3 linked regions of the Arabidopsis thaliana genome follow. The protein of the gene in region 3 interacts with the protein of the main gene of each other region in a pairwise test. Each region holds a gene or a part of one and is shown on either strand. Other genes may lie near its edges.

Region 1 (6,516 bases), 4.0 Mb from region 3:
CACCCACTTGATTTTAGACTTTTTAGTGTTTGTGGTTGCATCTTTTTTGGTAAATCTGGCTGTCTCGCCAATTTTGCTTTGCTCTAGTGATCCAATCAAAATAATTTCTGATTCTCTTTCTTTTAGAAATAATTTTTCCGAACATAAAAGTTTAAGAAATTTAACTTTAATAACGAAATTCATTATGTATAAAATAATTCTCGTGAAATTGTAAGAACTAAGAAGCATATCAAATGCTTATCTTTGATCAAAAAAAAATAAAAAATGCTTATCTTTTGTTGTATCAGATAGAAAGTGAAAATATTTAAAGAAGTGTACAAACAAGGACATAATCTTTTTTCTAGTGTGTCAAGTACTGACTCAAATTAAAGAACACAGCGAATTTCACGGCTTAGGGCTTCGGGTACTTATATAGTACTAATGATTATTTTCCAAGATCCTATATTTGCCAACTCACGTTTTAATGTATACCTAAATAATTTGTTTAAAAAAATAATTAATTCAGTTCTTTTGTTTGTTTAATTATCAATAATCATCTAGAGATTCAGACGTAACATATTCTATAATTATTTTATTTTTCAGAACCTTATCTCTTTGTTGAAGATACAAATATAAACGTACGACAAAATCGACCTATATCTACTACACAATAAACATATGAGAACCGAAATGAATGATGTTGTCATGTGTCGCTATCGCTCCATGTATCGCTTTCGCCTTCTCCATCGTCGCTTGCTACAGCCTGATATAACAAGTCCGAAATGTAAGTGCTTTAATGACCAAAATGGTACTTGCAAACTGAAACGTAAGATTATAAATGTGAATAATGTATGGAACCTGTCGGATAGAGTTTGCCTTCTCTAGAATCACGCTAATATTGGTGTTCATTGTAGTTTCTGATGATGATGTCTTTGTCCTGACCACACGTCTCAAGTTGAATTGCTGTTATGATTCAAAAGGTTGTTGTTGGTTAAGAAAAATGCATTTTATGACTTTGTGGAAACAGAAATGAGAATTGGAGGATCAAAAAATCATTTCTCCCATTTCATTCCTATACAAACGAAACTAAAAACATGTTCAAAATATATTTCCATTTCGATTAAGAGGGAACCGGGACAAAAATGAAATACGAAAACAAATGTATATATTTTTAGTTTTAAGGGTTTGAGTTTTTTTTTTTTTTAATTATCGATTATGTAAATATGTTCCTTAATAAAGGTTACTTTGAATTAATAGAATAGGGAATGCATTTTCATATACCACAGAAATTTTCTATATAGCTAAAATATAAAGCAAGAATAAAAGACTCACTTTAGTTCGAATTTGATGCAAGAAGTCTCCAGCTTCTGTCTCATTTGTGTTGCCATGACTTTGCTTATAATCCCTCACATTGTTCTTCAGATGTACCTATCAACCATCACATAAAATACCTTATACCAAAAAGATGAAAAAAAAAAAACAGTAAAAAGGAGAAGAAAACTTAATTCTCCATACCTTGGTTACAAGTTTAGGATCAGAAACAGTGACAATGTGTGGTTCTTTTTTCTTGACTGCAGTTAAAGAATTGTTGTTCTTCTCAAATGCCTGTGTGAGAGCATCCTTTAGAGACTGCTTGTTGTTATCCTCGAATCCAGCTGACGGTATTTTCGAAACCATCCACTGTAACGGTGGGAGAGGCGGTGGTAATGGCTCAGCTGGATTTTGGAGGTAAGAGACATTTTCAACTAAACAACCATTTGTTGTTTCAATCTTTGGAAATGGAACTGGTAGAGAAGAAGCTTCAGCATTGACTCTGTGAAACGAATCATAGAGCTCTTGTTGCCTCTTGCTTTCTCGGATACCTTCTGATTCTTCTTCCCACTGTTGCTCAGACATTGACACAGAGCGATTGTCATTGTCACTGTTGTCTGAAATGTAAGAAGAAGATCTACAGAAAGTGTCCTTGTCTGAATCAGAATCAGGAAGTGAAGTAGCAATAGTCTCTGGCACCAACTGAAACGAAGAAAATGTATATTCATCTGGAAGTTTTAGCTGTAGTTCAGAACTTGGCAAGGTTTCTGAGGATTTGAAAGATATTTTCATGTGATCAAGTGGAGGAGATGAAGTAAACCAATCAAAAGGAGCCTTATAATCTTCTCTTAAGTGCTCTTGGAAGGTTTCAGAATCAATGTCTTCAACAATCTCTGGAATAGTTTCTGCTATAATTTTCGGTTTCGATGGTTTCAGTCCTAGGAGATTTCCATTAGTCCATGTTTTAATGGATTCAGTGTCACAAGAACTCTCAACTTCTTCTGATTCTTGATGTTCTTGGATACCACTAATATCATACAAAGGATTTGAGAAGCCATTGGAATAACTATGAGTGCCACTACTTATTTCCGAAGCCGCCCATGGATCTTGATGAATCAGTTCATCAGATTTATATACCGGTGATGATGATAAATGTAGCTCTGATGTAGCAGCACATTTTGTCTCATCAACACTAAAGTTGTTAGAAATCTTCTCTGTTTCTTGCTCTGTAATATCATTGTAAAGATTCTTCTGCACCTCTTTAGTGGCTTGGAAAGCTTCATCATTTTCAGATTCTGAATCGATGGTGTAAAGTGCATCAACAAAATCATCCCCTTCGCTTTCAGTCTCATCCTCATTGTCCATTTCCAGTTCCTTCGGTTTGATATCTTGGACCGCTTCAACCGCTGAATGTTCTTTAAGTCTTGATACCGGTTCAGCATCCAAGACAAAGTTAGTTTCCATTACTTCAGGAGCTTCATCTGTTGCACACTGCAGAACATTGCATTCCACTATCTCAGCTTTCTCGTGCCAACTAACACTAGAAGAACCACGAGCTGTTAAATCTTGAGAAGGACTATCACTTTCACTTTCACTTTCAGAAAGAACTGAAGCAATGGTGCGAGAACCCGGTGTAAACCTTGAAGAAGAAGATACCCTCTTCGGTTTCTCTCCACCACTTCTTGAATCGAAAGAGAAAGAACGATGCTCTTGCAAGTCGGATTTCGACTCAATTTCAATCGTTGAAGCAGTTTTAGAGGTAGAGGTTCGTCCACTGAAGCTTAAAGAAGTACATGTCTTCCTGAACATCATATCATATATTCATGTTTTGAGTCATATATGAAAACATCTCTACAATGTCAAATCCAAATGTCATTACCTGTCACTCTGGTTAGCCACAGAGGCAAGTCTTGATATATCTCGACCGCGTTGTATAGATTTTTTCTTCTGCATCATCCATACAAGTTTAGGTAGCAAACAAGAAAAAGAAGAAACTCTACAAAACATGGTATTAACAGACTGAATCTCTAAAACAAACCTTAATCTCTGAAGGTTTAGAAGCTCTTGATGCTCTTTTGAAATGAGTAGGATCCGAGTATCGTTTCAAACAAGAACCTGGACCATTTATATCAAATCTGACAAAAACCGCTAAGAATCAGCATCATATTTATTATCATCAGTCTAAAACATAGCAGAAACAGTAATAACAAAAAAGAAAATGAGAGTTAAAAGGTGTATATACTTGTCAAGCAAGTGTAACCGCGGAGGTTCCCGGCAATCTTCATATGGAGTCATAATAAACGGTGGCAATTCGTCATACATAAAGTGATTTTGCACATTTGGTATACGAGGATGCCACTCCAGACCTAAAACAGCATGTAAACACTATGTTCATTAACTATACTTAAATTTTCTAAAGAACTCAAATAGTGAAAGATCATGACTTATTTAATTAAGATCCATAAGAAAGACTACTAGTATCATTCATCATCAAATTCTAAACTCAAAAAAGAGTATTTTAAGCTAAGAAGTTAGTGCAAAAGGCATGTGAGCTAGGGCCTACAATAAACTCAACAGGATATAAATTTTTGATTAAAGAACAAACATGTGAATCTAGACATTAAAGAAGATTGACAAGAGAAACAAGACAAAAGAAACCTCCAGTGTATGCAAAATGAATGTGATTTGTTTGTGCAAGCACTGTCTTTTGGATTGTAGGAACTTTAGCTTCTATTTGCTTCAATCTCATCTTCAATTTGTTGCTTCTTGATGCTGTTATCATTACCTCCTCTTGTATTCCATGGAATATCTCTGCTGCGAATCTGAAACAATGTGAGTTTAACATAAAAACTCAGGACAAGTAAGATTGGCTGAGAACCATAAAATAAGCAAATGAAGAAGACCAAACACAGCAAAATTAAAGATTTTACAGAGAATCAAAGAAGATCACTGACTCCATATTGTCACATTTTTACTTAAGATTTTTTTTTTTTTAAAAACATTTATAAGTCAATTATAAAAAAAAAGAAACAGAGGAAACAGAGTTGACTTAAAGTACTACTTACTCTGTGAGATCACCGAGTTGACGCAAGATCCCGACGAGTCCAGAAACGGCGACGTCGTCGAGAATCGCTTTAGGGTCTTCACGGTCGACTTTTGTGTGAAGCTCTTTTTGCCCTAAACCGTAGACATTCCTAACTTGGAGCCTAACAAGCGGCATTTGCTCTGTTCTTGAGAAAGATTCCGGAGGAATGATCAGATGGGTTTTGAAGATAAGAAACAAAGATTGAGTTTTTGTGGGTTATGTTGCTTGAGGTGGGTGAGAGATTATGGCAGCTTAACCGCCGAAACGAGAGAGAGAGGGAAAATTTGGAGATTACAAAAAGGTTTTTCGTTGTAAAAAGAGAAAAGAGAGACTCGGAGACATTGCTAACACCGCAAGCCATTCCCTTTTTCAATGTCATCATTTTAACTAAAAGTGCTAAGAGAAAATTACGAAAAAGGGCTTGGAGCAAAAAGAAAGGTACCCATAACCTACCCATATGGAGCGAATCATGATCCAAATTAGTCATTTGTTACTTACATAATTTCCCGAAAATAAACTTTAGTTTTTATAAGAATTTGTTAGTGCTAAACATAAATTATTTAAAAAGAACTATAAACATTTTTAGTCATGTGTATAACCCCTACTTGTAATACTATATTTGTATGCTTAAGTCATCTAATGAGAACTTACTCTGCTTAATCTTCTACTACTAGCTACTAAAACAAAAAACTTCTACTACTTGTAATATTATATCATATACATTTTGCACAAATATGGAGTATAAAACTAGAAGTTAAAGTTTGGATCATTGAATGAGCATTTGAAGACTTCTATTATAAAATAGAAATGCGTTACAGTTTAGATAGCGTTAAAGTTTGAATCATTGAATGAGAATTTGGTCGTTTGCGAGGAAATAGACTTGTTGAGTTGGCTACATATTTATTGGAGAACAAAACTCCCATAAATGAGGCATCAATACATACGTAACACTTGTACTCAAACTCTATAGCTGTGATTTGTTTTTGTTTTTGACACCAACTATATATGAATGATGATGGTACAATTCAAAGATTTTCATAATGAATCTAGTAAAGCGGAAGTGTATGTATTGCCGTAATGGTGTGCCTCTCGCATCCTTGATCTATACAATCAAGTTTGATGTTACAAGAGTTGCATAATATCTTCCATCTACACACGCTGCGTAGTGTGTGCGCGTGTGGGTGAATGTATTCATACATCTATATCTTACACTACTTGAGGACTTGCACACATGCATGTGGATGTGTGACTTACTCCATCCTCGTTTAGGCATATATACACAATAATAAATCATGCACAAGCATTTTAGATCTGTGCTTCTAGAGTTTTGGATCTGGCTCCCATTAACCAAAGCAATTTATCAACTCGAATTCTTTTGTCGTTTTTCTTGATACTAACATATAAATACATTTTATTTATAAACTACAGTTCAGACATATGGATCGAAGATCCACAGTACTACTCCAGTACTCCATACAAGCTAATACACAGTATTAGAAGTAATCAATTCTTATGGTCCTTGGTAGGTATAGTATTATTAAATAAGTGATGCGATTAGATCAATGCATGACTTTTAGCTGGTCGTCTATTTATGGATGCTACCTAAACATAAATTTAATCACATGTCATTTATTATTTATTATTACTCCTAAATTGTTCTGTCCATTAAATATTTTATAAGTTGTTACTTGCTACTCCTATCAACCATTAATGGTAATCTTTGACGCAGATTCTATGAGCTATACTATTGCATTGTTTTCCATCATATATTATCAATCACAAGTAACTCTTCACAAAAAATGGCGGTCAATAAAGTGACACTTACAAAACTCAATGGTTTAAATAAAAACTACAACATTGCTGAAAAATATACATAAATTTTAAACACGAAATTGGTTAACAAAACAAAATTGGCGGTCATCTCATGTTTTTTTTTATATCATAGTAAATCTCGAAATGTGCTTTGATTAAAGATCAGACCATCGAATGGTGCACTAGCATTCTCATATAATTTGACATATAAAATAGTATAAGTAACAATATACTAATATAGTAGTAGTATATTAATCATTTGCATAAATATAAAACAAGAATTGGTCCAATGACCCATCGATGGCATCAATGCCTTGTTCTTGGATGAA
Region 2 (7,352 bases), on a different chromosome or scaffold from region 3:
TATGCTATGGAAGAAATCAAGAATGCAATTAAAGATGATATAACATCAAGAATCCAAATACTTTTTTTTTTCATGAGAAGAATCGATTACACTGACTTGTGTTTGGATTTGATGCAACAAGTCTCCAGTTTTGGTCTCCTTTTCATTGGCATTTTGTTTATCCTCCCTGACAATATTCTTAAGATGGGTCTATGAGAACATATGCTTCTCATTCGTAACTTGAAATATATCGAATAACCGTAAACGTGAATCATTACTTTGTTTTGTCGTTCAATGTTGCTATTGCCGACTTGCTTTGATGGTAATATCAAGTCAAATGTTGATCTTGTTTATAAAATTTAGTGGTACTACAAAAAAAAAAAACTATGACCATGGATTCTTCTTAGTTGCTCTAGGATAAAAGTCCATGACTAATTTAAGTTTAGCTCTTTATGGTCATGAATTTTTTTTGTAGCAAGCTCGTGGCTAAAATCCCAAGTTCTAGAAAGTTTTCCTTAAGATGAATGGGCATTATAGATTTTACTTTCATTTTTATTTCTTGCACTACTTTATTTTCTTGAAGATACAGATCACACTCGACAAAATTTACTATCACCTACACAAATCCACACATTAGATATGATACAAAATACAAAAAATTCTTGCAGGACTAGCTTGAACCCCTTTTCTCCATTTATGTCGTTCAGAGAGTAGATTACAAAGATGAAATGGAATCTGATAAAGGGCTTTTACGTATCACTCCATGTATCGCTTTCATCTCCATCTTTGCTAGCTACAGCCTGAAAAGAAGAAAAGAGTGAGTGATAGATAATGTTGTGTTGGATTTAAGACAAAAAGTACTTAGATTCTGAAATAAAGATTAGATTTGCTTTGGATATATATAGATGCAGAAGTTAGAGGATGAACCTGGCGTATTGAGTTTGCTTTCTCCAAAATCGCGCTGATCTTAGTGTTTATGATAGGGTCAGTTGTTGCAGTAGCCGATGATGTCGTTGTCATGACCACAGGCCTAAGGTTGAATTGCTTTGATTTGAAAGAAACCAAGAATGTAGCAAAAGATGATATAACAAATCAAGCATCAGAATATAACTTTCTTTCACAAAAAGGAACTATTTGCACTCACTTGTGTTCGGATTTGTTGCAAGAAGTCTCCAGTTTCAGTCTCCTTTGCGTTGGCACTTTGTTTCTCCTCCCTGACATTATTCTTCAGATGGGCCTATGAGAACATATGCTTGTTAAGATTCGTAATTTGAACTATATTGAAAACGATCATCTGGAATATATGGAACTGACCCACACTGTAGAAAAGTAGGAAGAAAGAGTCAAAATCTTCTCCATACCTTAATTTCTGGTTTAGGAGCAGAAGTCACCATGCTAGGCAGTTCGTTCTTAGCTGTAGGCAATGAAATATGCTTCTCAAACGCAAACCTGAGAGCTTCTTGTAGTTGTAGGGACTGTGTTTTGTCTTCCATTTTCTCTGAAGGTGTCTTTGAAACCATCCATTGCATGGGTGGAAATGGCGGTGGTAAGGGCTCAGCAGGATTTTGGAGATATGAGAGGTTTACGGCGACGCAAGAACTTTCTGATTTGATCCCTAGAGGGGAAGCTTCAGCATTGTTATCAACATGCCTACTTTCGTGGAAAGAATCATATAGTTCTTGCTCTTTTCTTCCATGGCTGTCACTGGATTCTTCCCACGGCTCAGAATTTGACAAGGAGTGATTATCGCTAAGATAATCGGTATCTGACATGTAAGGAGATGATCTACAAAAAGTGTCGTCGTCAGAATAAGAATCAGGAAGGGAAGTTCCAGTCTCTGGAAGCAACTGGAAGGAGGAAAAGGTATTGTAAGTGTTGTCTCCATCTGAAAATTTAAGCTTCAGTCTCGAAGCCTGAAGAGTGTCAGCGGGATTGAGAGATATTTTCATGTGTTGAAGAGGCGGAGACGAAGTGATCCAATCAATAGGAGCTTCGTCTCTGAAGGGGTCCATAAAGGTTTTCTCATTAATATCTTGGTCACAAAACCTCCTCCTCTCTGTAGTCACTTCATCGTTCTCTGGAATCGTTGCTGGTACAGTCTTTCTATCATGTGCAAATGAATCCTTTCTGCGGAAACCACTAGTAAGAAACTTGTGGCTGAGTCCAAAAACTCCAGAAGAAGTCTCATGGGACTCTCTTTGGTCTACAATACCCATGACTATGCCATTTGAACTACCTGGATTTTGGGTTCCTGGCGTTGCTAAGCTTGAATTATTCAGAACATGTCTATGTGAAGCATTTTCAACTAGATCATCTGCTTTATCTTTTTCAGCTTCTGCAAAACCAACTGTCCTTTCCTCGGTCTTGCAATCTGGACTTAAAGAACTTGGCATTGCCAAGACTGGAGGTTTCGATGGTTTCAGTCCCAATAGACCACCATTAGTCCATATTTTAAAGGCTTCGAGATCCCCAGAAGATTCAGCTTCTGTTTCTTGATTTTCCTGTAGGCCATGATGAATCAAGGGGTTTGATGAATCAACTAAGCTGTTCTCGAGACCTGGCACAAATGTAAATGTGATGGTATCTTTTCCACCAGAATCATTACGCATATCCTTGTTTGCACAAAGATCATTTTTTTGTAAGCGGTTGATATCTGAACCCGCCTGTAGATTTTGTTGATGCATTTCAACAGATACATTTTCTGACGATGCATTCTCTTCATTTTTAAAACTGTTGGCCATAAGCCCATCCATTGATCTGCAAGAATCTTCGACACTGTAGGAATTCTGCTCTGTTTCTTGCTCACACACTGACTTTTCCAACCTCTCATCTGCAACACCACAGGAACTGCTCACTTGACTAGTTTGAAGCCCTTGATTGTTTTCAGATTCTGATTCGATAGTATTAAGCGCATCAACAAAACACTCCCCTTCGCTTTCAGTCTCTTGTTCACTATCCCTCGGTTCTCCCACAATCTCCCGACCATTTTTTATCTCTCTTACCTCATCAATCCCAGCACGTTTTCGTAGTCCTGATTCTGATTTATCATTTTCATTGTCCTTAGAATGGAAATCAACTCCACCTATCCCTTCCCCATAGCTTGGTTTCTCATCTAGAGTATCTACAACAGAGTTCGCCTCCACCATTTCAGAAGCTTCATCTGTCTGCAGACCAAGAGATTCCACTATCTCTGCTTTCTCATCCCAACTAACGCAAGAAGAGCCACGAGCAGCTTGCCCTTGAGAAGGACTAAACTGGAAATTATCATGAGCATCTTCGGTTTCACATTCAGAAAGGACTGAAGCAATAGTGCAAGAGCCTGGTGTCAAGCTGGATGAAACGAACACCCCTTTCGGTCTTTCTCCAGTCTTCAGTGAAGAAGTTGCAGTTGAAAGGCATTCATTGTAGCCTGAACCACTTCTGGACTCAAAAGAGCGAGAATGATGATCTTGAAAATCATATCTTTTTTCCATGTCACTGGTTGAGGTGGTTTTGGTAGAAGAGGTTTGTCCACTGAAGCTAAATGAAGCAAATGTCTTCCTGGAGTGAACTATGTCTGAGTTAATTATTCTTTAGGTGCACGGAAACTTAAATATGCCAACAATATCTATAATTTACCTGGCATTCTGGTTAGCCAAGGAGGCCAAACGTGACATATCTCGACTCCTTGACGAAGTTTTTTTCTTCTGTCCATGCCAGAAAACAGATATATATGTGTCAAGTAAAAGAGAATTCTACAGAAAATGGTTTACCAATTTAATCTGAGAACCACACCTTCATTTTACAATGCTTTTTATCTTTTTGGAACTTCTTGTTTCCTTGACTCAGGTTGCTTGATGCTCTTCTGAAATAAGTAGGATCTGAGTATCGCTTCAAGCAAGATCCAGGACCATTTATATCAAATCTGAGAAAATAAAGCAAAGAATCAGTATAACATGATGGATTATAGTACATAGTACATACATATCAGATATAAATATTTTAGCTTGAGGCATACTTATCAAGCAAGTGTAACCGTGGAGGACCCCTGCATTCTTCATAGGGATCCATAATAATGTGAGGCAAGTCGTCATAAATTAAGTGATTTTGCGTAATTGGGATACGAGGATGCCACTCCAGACCTGAACCCCATTAAACTCCTTCAGTTCACAAGATATAAAGTAAGAAAAATACAAGCATGACCACTTTCTCACCACCCATTACTTCCACGGTTTCAATACAATAAATAAAAGTTTGCCAAGGGGAACCAAACAACTAATACTATCAATTCAATTTTAAGTTAATCTATTTTAAGGTTTTGCAGAAGATACAATGATTTAGTTTCTCAATCATTCCAGATTCTAAACTAGCCTCGTCAGAGAAAGTTTTAGTTTTAGGGTAAGTGAAAAAGCATGTGAAGGCCTACAATGAACTAAGGATGTGACATAATTTATTAAAAGAATTAATGTGAAACCTAACAAGAATCAGACACCTTGGGTCAAGACAATAAGAAGATTGACAAGAGGGAAGAAGACAAAACAAACCTCCTGTGTATGCAAAATGTATATGAGTTGTTTGTGCAAGCATCGCCTTTTCTAGTGGAGGCACTGTAGCTTCTATATGCTGCAATCTAATCTTTAACTGATTGCTTCTTGAAGCTGTAGCCATAACTTCCTCCTGTATCCCATGAAATATCTCTGCTGCAAACCTTAATCAAGAGAAAAAGCAATCGATAAGAAAGTTTCTTCCTTTGTGCTAAAATGACCCTTATCAACCAGAGATCACTCCAAACCCAAACTAAGCTTGATATCAGAGCCGACATAAAGAGTCACCACATAAGGAGTTGCTAAGAAACATAAACTAAGCTCATGAAACAAAACTAAACACAGCAAAAATGGAGAATGATTGATAGAAACATCACAACAATCATAGAATCATAAATGAATAAAGCTTCTTCCTTTTTGCTAAAGCTTAACTCAAAAACTTCAAAGGATCATGCAATCAAAATGGGTTCCCAAATTTGTAGCTACAAACACCAATTAGATTACCTTAAACAAGTAAAGGCAATTACTTTCACACAAAGTAATGATTCTCATCTTTAACTTCACCACTAGCTCAAAGAATCATTCAACAGTAGAGATACCCAAAAGAGACGCAACATTAGCTCGAATTGAATACTTACTCAGCGAGATCACCAAGCTGACGCAAGACCCCAACAAGTCCAGTAACTGCAACACCATTGAGAATTGCTTTAGGGTCTTCACGATCGACATTTCTATACACCTCGCTTTGGTTCATACCGTATACATTCCGTGGCATTTTTTCTCTTAAAAGGTACAAAACTGTCACACATTGAGATACAAAAAGTTTTGTGGCTAAAGCATTAAGAGAGCTGGGAAAAGGATTAGGAGAAAGAATCAAAAGGTTTTTTTTTGAAGAAATTGAGAAAATGGGTTTTGATGAAAACGAGAAAAAGGTTAATGATTGTTGATGGGTTTCTGGTGAGTGAGATTGATGAGGCAGCTTAACTGCTCAAAAACAGAGAGGGAAATTTTGGAGGCAGAGAGGGAAAGAGACTGTGAGAGAGAGAGACATTGACATTGCCAATATCGCAAGCCATTCCTTTCCAATTTCATTTACCAGTGGGGGGTTTACAGAAAAGTAGAAAGACCAAATTACCCTTGTATTTTGTGTGTTATTACGTGATGGGGTTTTGAGAAAAGAAGGATTTTATTTTTATTTTTGGTTCAAAGAAAGGTTATTGGTTCGCACGATATGAACATTAAATTCTAATTTTGATTACAGAATAAATGTTCGATTTTGTAATTTAAAAATGAAGTGGTTTTCGGAAAAAAAGTGAGAGAATGTCAATGTCAAATAAATGTTTCGTCAAGTTTTGTAGTTATTTGAGTAAGGATTTGTTTGTTTGTCAATAAATAAAATTGTTGGGTTGGTTACATGTTGAAACAAAGTCCAACGAGTGAGATGGACATATTACAAATAGTACGTTCTAGTATGATACAATAAATGTAGACAATTTTTAATTGTAATCGTGGAATTCCACATTTATAATTCTTGGAACTAGGTAAATTAGTTAAGCATATCCGATGCAAAGTGGTTTCTCCAATGCATTCAAGACTCCTAGTTTTCTATACAAGAGTTAAAATCACTTGCTCTTTATGTTTACATCCACCAGAATGTTTATGATTGGGAGAACAACCCCAACAATTGAAGAAGAAGAAGAGGCAGGGATATTATGTCTCAAGAATCTCACTACAAAAAAGGTTAGTTGTATCAATTAACTTGCAACAAAAATTTAAAAAATACTAATTTGAATTACTTATTTACAATCGATACAAAAATTATAATTTAACATCAATTGCAATAACTGATGTCGTATTAGTTTGTGTGACATCAGTTCATTAAAATTAATGCAAATCTAGGTCTATTTGCCTCACTTTCACAATATTAATACAAATATGTGAATTTTAATCATTTAGAAAGTGATACAAAATTTAAATCAATAATAACCGATGCTAATTACAGATTTAGCATCAGTTGCACTAACTGATATAATTGTTTATTCAATTTGTTTACATACCACATATCTCCCACAGAAGGAAAAAAAAACCTCCATAATTTTTTTATATATGTAAAGTTACATAATTCTGGTTTTAGATGGTGTCCAAAAAGTGTAAAGTTACTATCCCAACTAAATTTAAGTGTTCGCTTAATATTAATTAATAAAGATATTTGTTTCATAAAAACTAATTTAGTATTATTTTATAAGTTATTATAATTAATATAAACACTTAAAATTATTTATTATAAATGTTGCAAATATTAACGTTATTTTGATAAATTGATACAAATAATAAATCACTTATATTCAATGATGCAAAATTAATATCATTTTTTTGCAACTGATGCATATTAACATCGATTAAAATAATCACTACAAACAAACATGTTATACGGTAATGTTTCGACAGTTTAAGAGTTACTATATATGGAGGAGTGAACAAGGCAAACAACCACCAAAAACCAAAAAAAAAAGAGATAGCTACTAATATAGATCTTGGAGCATGCCAAATTTTACAAGAAAAAGACCCAGAAGATTATACTTTGGGGAGAGACCAATTTGGGTTAAAAACAAGAGGAAATCAAGAAGCAGTAATGTCATTAAGCATATAGAACACGGAAAATCATCTTCCAAGTGGTTTTGTTCAAGTTGACAAGAGAAGAGAGACATTTTTTTTTGTATCCTACAATTCGAACTTGCATGGAAGAAGAGACATCAAAGGATTTCAAAAGAACCCAAAACCTCATAATAAGACTCAATTGTATCTAAAACACCAACTTTGATATTGAAGAAAATCTTAATTTCATTCTCA
Region 3 (4,038 bases):
ACCAACGGCGTTCATGGAAAATCGATTAGGCTCGGAAGGATAAGGGAACTCAATGGATTCGAAGAGATTCTCGGTCGTACTGTTCTCGATTCTCCGGAGAGTGTACCAGTAGTCGTATACGGGGCGATAATTTTCGTCGATGAAGCCGATATAGAGATAATCTTTTCCGAGTAAAGATCGAGCCTTGTGAATTTCAGGCGAGCGAACAAGACTCCGCATGTTCTTGGAGACGGAGCAGAGGATTGGGTAATATCGTTTTGGGACGCGGGCTAAGATCATCGAAATGATTTCCAGTGGCAGTGACAAAAACAATGACGGCGATGCCGATGCCGATGCCGATGACGACGATGGTTGGTCGGTTTTTCGCGGTGGTTCGTTGGAGCTAGACATCGACTCTAGTTTAAAGGAGAAGACTAGAGAATTGAGATTTTATTGATTTATTCTATTTCGGTTTCGGTTATTAGCCAAAAAACAAAACCCGGTTTATTTATTCTTCGATTCTGTTTCAATCGGTTTATTTTGTTTCTTTTTGCGCTAAAACGGTTCTTTGTTGTTGTCTCTTGAACTCAAAGAAGACAAACATTGTTCTTTTACATAGACTGATAGACGAGAATTCGCTTATAATTCTGTTACAAGAATCTCTACTACAAGATCAAACTTTTATAACGAAGATAGCTAATCATACTAAAATCTGCAAGAGTCCTTCATAGAAGAAACACACTAAAAAAGATGTAAAACAAACCAAAGCCAGAGACTTGAGTACACTAGTCAAAGAACATGGCATAAACCGATCTTTCTCTTTCGCTTCTTAGTCTTTGAAGGAGGATGTAAAACTACTTTGATCGCTTCATCAAACACGGCTTTTACGTTCTGCAAATTTAGCATCATCATAAGTCTTTCTTTATCAGATTGAGGTCCAAAATATTTGGTCTAATTGTAAAATGTAACTCAAGCATTAATGGTTACTTTACCATTTGTGCTTTTGAGCTGCACTCTATGTATGCTAATGCTCCTATTTCCTTTCTTAGTTCTTGACCCTATAAAAGAAGCAATCTTTGAGTTATAAAAGAGTTTGATTCTTAACATGGTTCTTGATCATATACATTGAAGAAGAATCTTTAAAAAAACATACCTGTTCTGGGAAGATTGTGCAAGCACCTGGATAATTCTTTGGGAACTGCATGTTGTCTCTTAGATCTGCAATATCAAGAAATTCATCTTATATACTACATAACATCACTTACACATTGATGTTAGATTCCTAACATTCAAGACATAACAGAGTGGTTCATTATCTTCAACCTGATTTGGTTCCCACAAGAACAATAGGCACAGTCGGGGCATAATGTCTCAGCTCGGGTACCCACTGCGAAAGAAAACCGATCCATATGCACATGAGATCAGTGTTGTAAAGTTAAATTACAGTGAAATTAAAAGTAAAAGGAAAGATAATCTCAAGTCTCAACCTTTTTAGCAATGTTCTCAAAGCTAGGCCTGCTAATAAGTGAGAAGGCAAGAATGAAAACATCTGCTCCTCTGTAACTCAATGGTCTAACCCTATTGTAGTCTTCTTGACCTGTAATATAATGTGAATCACCCAAAAGATATATAACACAAGAATCATAATTGGTCTCATTTAAGTTTTGAAGAAACATGAGCAAAATCTGATAGTGAATTCAAGAACCAAAACAATGTTGCATCAAAGATTCAAATTTTTCAACTGACTTCTTTTAAAAGGACCAAAAGATTAGACCTTGACATATTGTTGTAGATATAAAGCTAAAGACAAGAACAACTTTGACATTAGGTAAAAGCATTTACCAGCAGTATCCCAGAGACCCAGATTGACAGTTTTACCATCGACTAAAACATTAGCATTGAAATTGTCGAACACTGTTGGAACATAATCCTGTAATAACAAGATCTCAACAGTCACCAAAAGCTATCAAGAAAAGCAATCCAAAAGAGAGAGAGGGAGAGATGGATTTATATACAGTGGGGAACGTGTTGCTGGTGTAGGAAATAAGAAGACAAGTTTTGCCCACAGCTCCATCGCCAACAGTGACACACTTTATAAACGTTGTAGCTGTTGCTGATGATGTTGATGTTGCAGCCATTGAAGCTGACATTGATTGAGAAAATTCTCTGATTTTACTTACCCTGTTCTCTCTCTTTCTGTGGTTTTATTCTGGTTCAAGTGAAGAATGAGAATGAGACTTGAGTGGTAAAAAAGGAGTCAACTTTAATTTGAGCTGTCAGAGAGCCAAAACGCCTTAAAAATAATTTTTTATTCGGTGGGTTTGATTTCTTTCCTATTTTTTGAATTTAGATAGATTTTGCCATATTTTACTTCTTTCCAAAAAAACTCTAATTGGTAACACATAGCTGTACATAACTTTTATCTGTTAACTTTTTTTGAAATAGTATAAAATTACTAAAAAACAGTTATATTAAAAAAAATGTATAAAAAAGCTGAGAGAAAAATCTTTTAGTAACGCTTTTGATAAAAAAAATTATAATTGGTAGAAATGAAAGTTGTACAAATTATAGTGCTTTGTTTTTTTCACCAATCAATGCAAATGCAAAGGTCCAAATGTTTCAGCAAAATGAAAATAAGTGGTGGTTATATCAAATCAAATTTTGTAAATTCAGTTACATTTACATGACTAATTTTACAAGATGTGTAATTTTAATTATCTCTAGATCATTTGTTTTTTTTTTCGATTTAAGTTTGGACAATGGATCGACCACCAAACACATCATCATTAACAAAGATGGAAAGGCAAGTCCATTATTACTACCGTGTTGATACAAAAAAAAATGAATTTTATGATTTCTTTCTTCCTAAGATATAATTTGGAATCATAGTTTAAGTACAAAAAAATGTTTCCTTCTACGTGAATCTTTGTATTACAACTGTCAGTGTCATAAGGCCCATCCGAAAAGCCCATTTCTAAATACTAGAATTTTAAAAAATTAAACAATGATTAAAAAAAAAAAAAAAAACAAAGAGAAGAAAACAAAACAGTAGAGAATGAGAAAAAACCACAGGGAAAAGCAGAGCACTCTTTATCTCTTCTTCTCTCTTTCTTCTACTCTGTGATCAAACTATCGAAGAAAAAACAAACCCTAGATTTATCCGCCCCTCTTCTTCCTCTGATGATAAGAAAGTCGAAGACTTTGAGAATCTAAAGCTGAAAAATTTTGTTTTTTTTCATTGAGGGAATCGAATCGAGTTATGTACAAGGATCGGAGTGGAGGAGGAATAATGGGTGGTGGTGGATCATCGAGATCGGAGATCCTTGGTGGAGCTATTGATCGGAAACGAATCAATGATGCTTTAGACAAACATCTTAAGAAATCTTCACCTTCTACATCTAGGGTTTTCACTTCTAAGGACAAAGATTCTGTCCCTTCTACTTCAACTGCTAAATCTCAGCTTCATTCTCGTTCCCCCGATGGTTAATTGCTTATATCTCACTCAATTTCAATTTCATGTGGTTTTAGTACTTTCTGATTTGGGTATTAATAAATTTTGATTCTTTGTGGATGCAGTTGAATCTGACACGGATAGTGAAGGATCAGATGTGAGTGGTTCAGAAGGTGATGATACCTCTTGGATCTCATGGTTTTGTAATTTGAGAGGGAATGAGTTTTTCTGTGAAGTAGATGAAGATTATATACAAGATGATTTCAATCTCTGTGGTTTGAGTGGTCAAGTTCCTTACTATGATTATGCACTTGATCTCATTTTAGATGTTGAATCATCAAATGGTAAGTGAAGGGTCCATTTGATGAATTTAGGCTTTACTTTGTCTGAGAATTGTTGTATAATTTGGAGGAATGTTTATTGGATTAGGTGATATGTTTACTGAAGAACAGCATGAGATGGTGGAATCAGCTGCTGAGATGTTATATGGTCTTATTCATGTTCGTTATATTCTCACTACTAAAGGAATGGCTGCTATGGTAAGCAAGATACTTCTTCTACATCTTTGTTTCTGATTGATCTTTTGAATGATATCTTTCTCTTTTGTA

Evidence for each region. Proteins that work in one complex are often made in the same cells at the same time.
Region 1: the proteins of ARAC9 (region 3) and AT2G34150 interact in a two-hybrid assay, tested with the Arabidopsis thaliana proteins (one study listed by BioGRID).
Region 2: the proteins of ARAC9 (region 3) and WAVE2 interact in a two-hybrid assay, tested with the Arabidopsis thaliana proteins (one study listed by BioGRID).

Annotation. Positions count from the first base shown.
Region 1 is NC_003071.7:14,418,750-14,425,265, forward strand, and holds AT2G34150 (SCAR family protein), read right to left. Parts: upstream 4,723-6,516; 5' UTR 4,511-4,722; coding exon 4,356-4,510; intron 4,113-4,355; coding exon 3,949-4,112; intron 3,943-3,948; exon of another isoform or gene 3,657-3,942; coding exon 3,533-3,656; intron 3,426-3,532; coding exon 3,329-3,425; exon of another isoform or gene 3,298-3,328; coding exon of another isoform or gene 3,238-3,297; coding exon 3,170-3,237; intron 3,092-3,169; coding exon 1,495-3,091; intron 1,408-1,494; coding exon 1,312-1,407; intron 943-1,311; coding exon 838-942; intron 743-837; coding exon 683-742; 3' UTR 514-682; downstream 1-513. UniProt on the Arabidopsis thaliana protein: Involved in regulation of actin and microtubule organization. Part of a WAVE complex that activates the Arp2/3 complex. Regulates trichome branch positioning and expansion.
Region 2 is NC_003070.9:10,189,624-10,196,975, forward strand, and holds WAVE2 (SCAR family protein), read right to left. Parts: upstream 5,591-7,352; 5' UTR 5,278-5,590; coding exon 5,141-5,277; intron 4,667-5,140; coding exon 4,503-4,666; intron 4,101-4,502; coding exon 3,977-4,100; intron 3,884-3,976; coding exon 3,754-3,883; intron 3,666-3,753; coding exon 3,598-3,665; intron 3,520-3,597; coding exon 1,341-3,519; intron 1,217-1,340; coding exon 1,124-1,216; coding exon of another isoform or gene 1,097-1,123; exon of another isoform or gene 1,024-1,096; coding exon 907-1,023; intron 780-906; coding exon 729-779; 3' UTR 514-728; downstream 1-513. UniProt on the Arabidopsis thaliana protein: Involved in regulation of actin and microtubule organization. Part of a WAVE complex that activates the Arp2/3 complex. Regulates trichome branch positioning and expansion.
Region 3 is NC_003071.7:18,427,367-18,431,404, reverse strand, and holds ARAC9 (RAC-like 9), read right to left. Parts: upstream 2,285-4,038; 5' UTR 2,130-2,284; coding exon 1,995-2,129; intron 1,910-1,994; coding exon 1,822-1,909; intron 1,577-1,821; coding exon 1,467-1,576; intron 1,367-1,466; coding exon 1,303-1,366; intron 1,198-1,302; coding exon 1,133-1,197; intron 1,038-1,132; coding exon 972-1,037; intron 871-971; coding exon 769-870; 3' UTR 523-768; downstream 1-522. Other genes in the region: AT2G44700 (Galactose oxidase/kelch repeat superfamily protein), read right to left, coding at 1-390; CKB4 (casein kinase II beta subunit 4), read left to right, coding at 3,239-3,461, 3,556-3,774, 3,860-3,969. UniProt on the Arabidopsis thaliana protein: Inactive GDP-bound Rho GTPases reside in the cytosol, are found in a complex with Rho GDP-dissociation inhibitors (Rho GDIs), and are released from the GDI protein in order to translocate to membranes upon activation.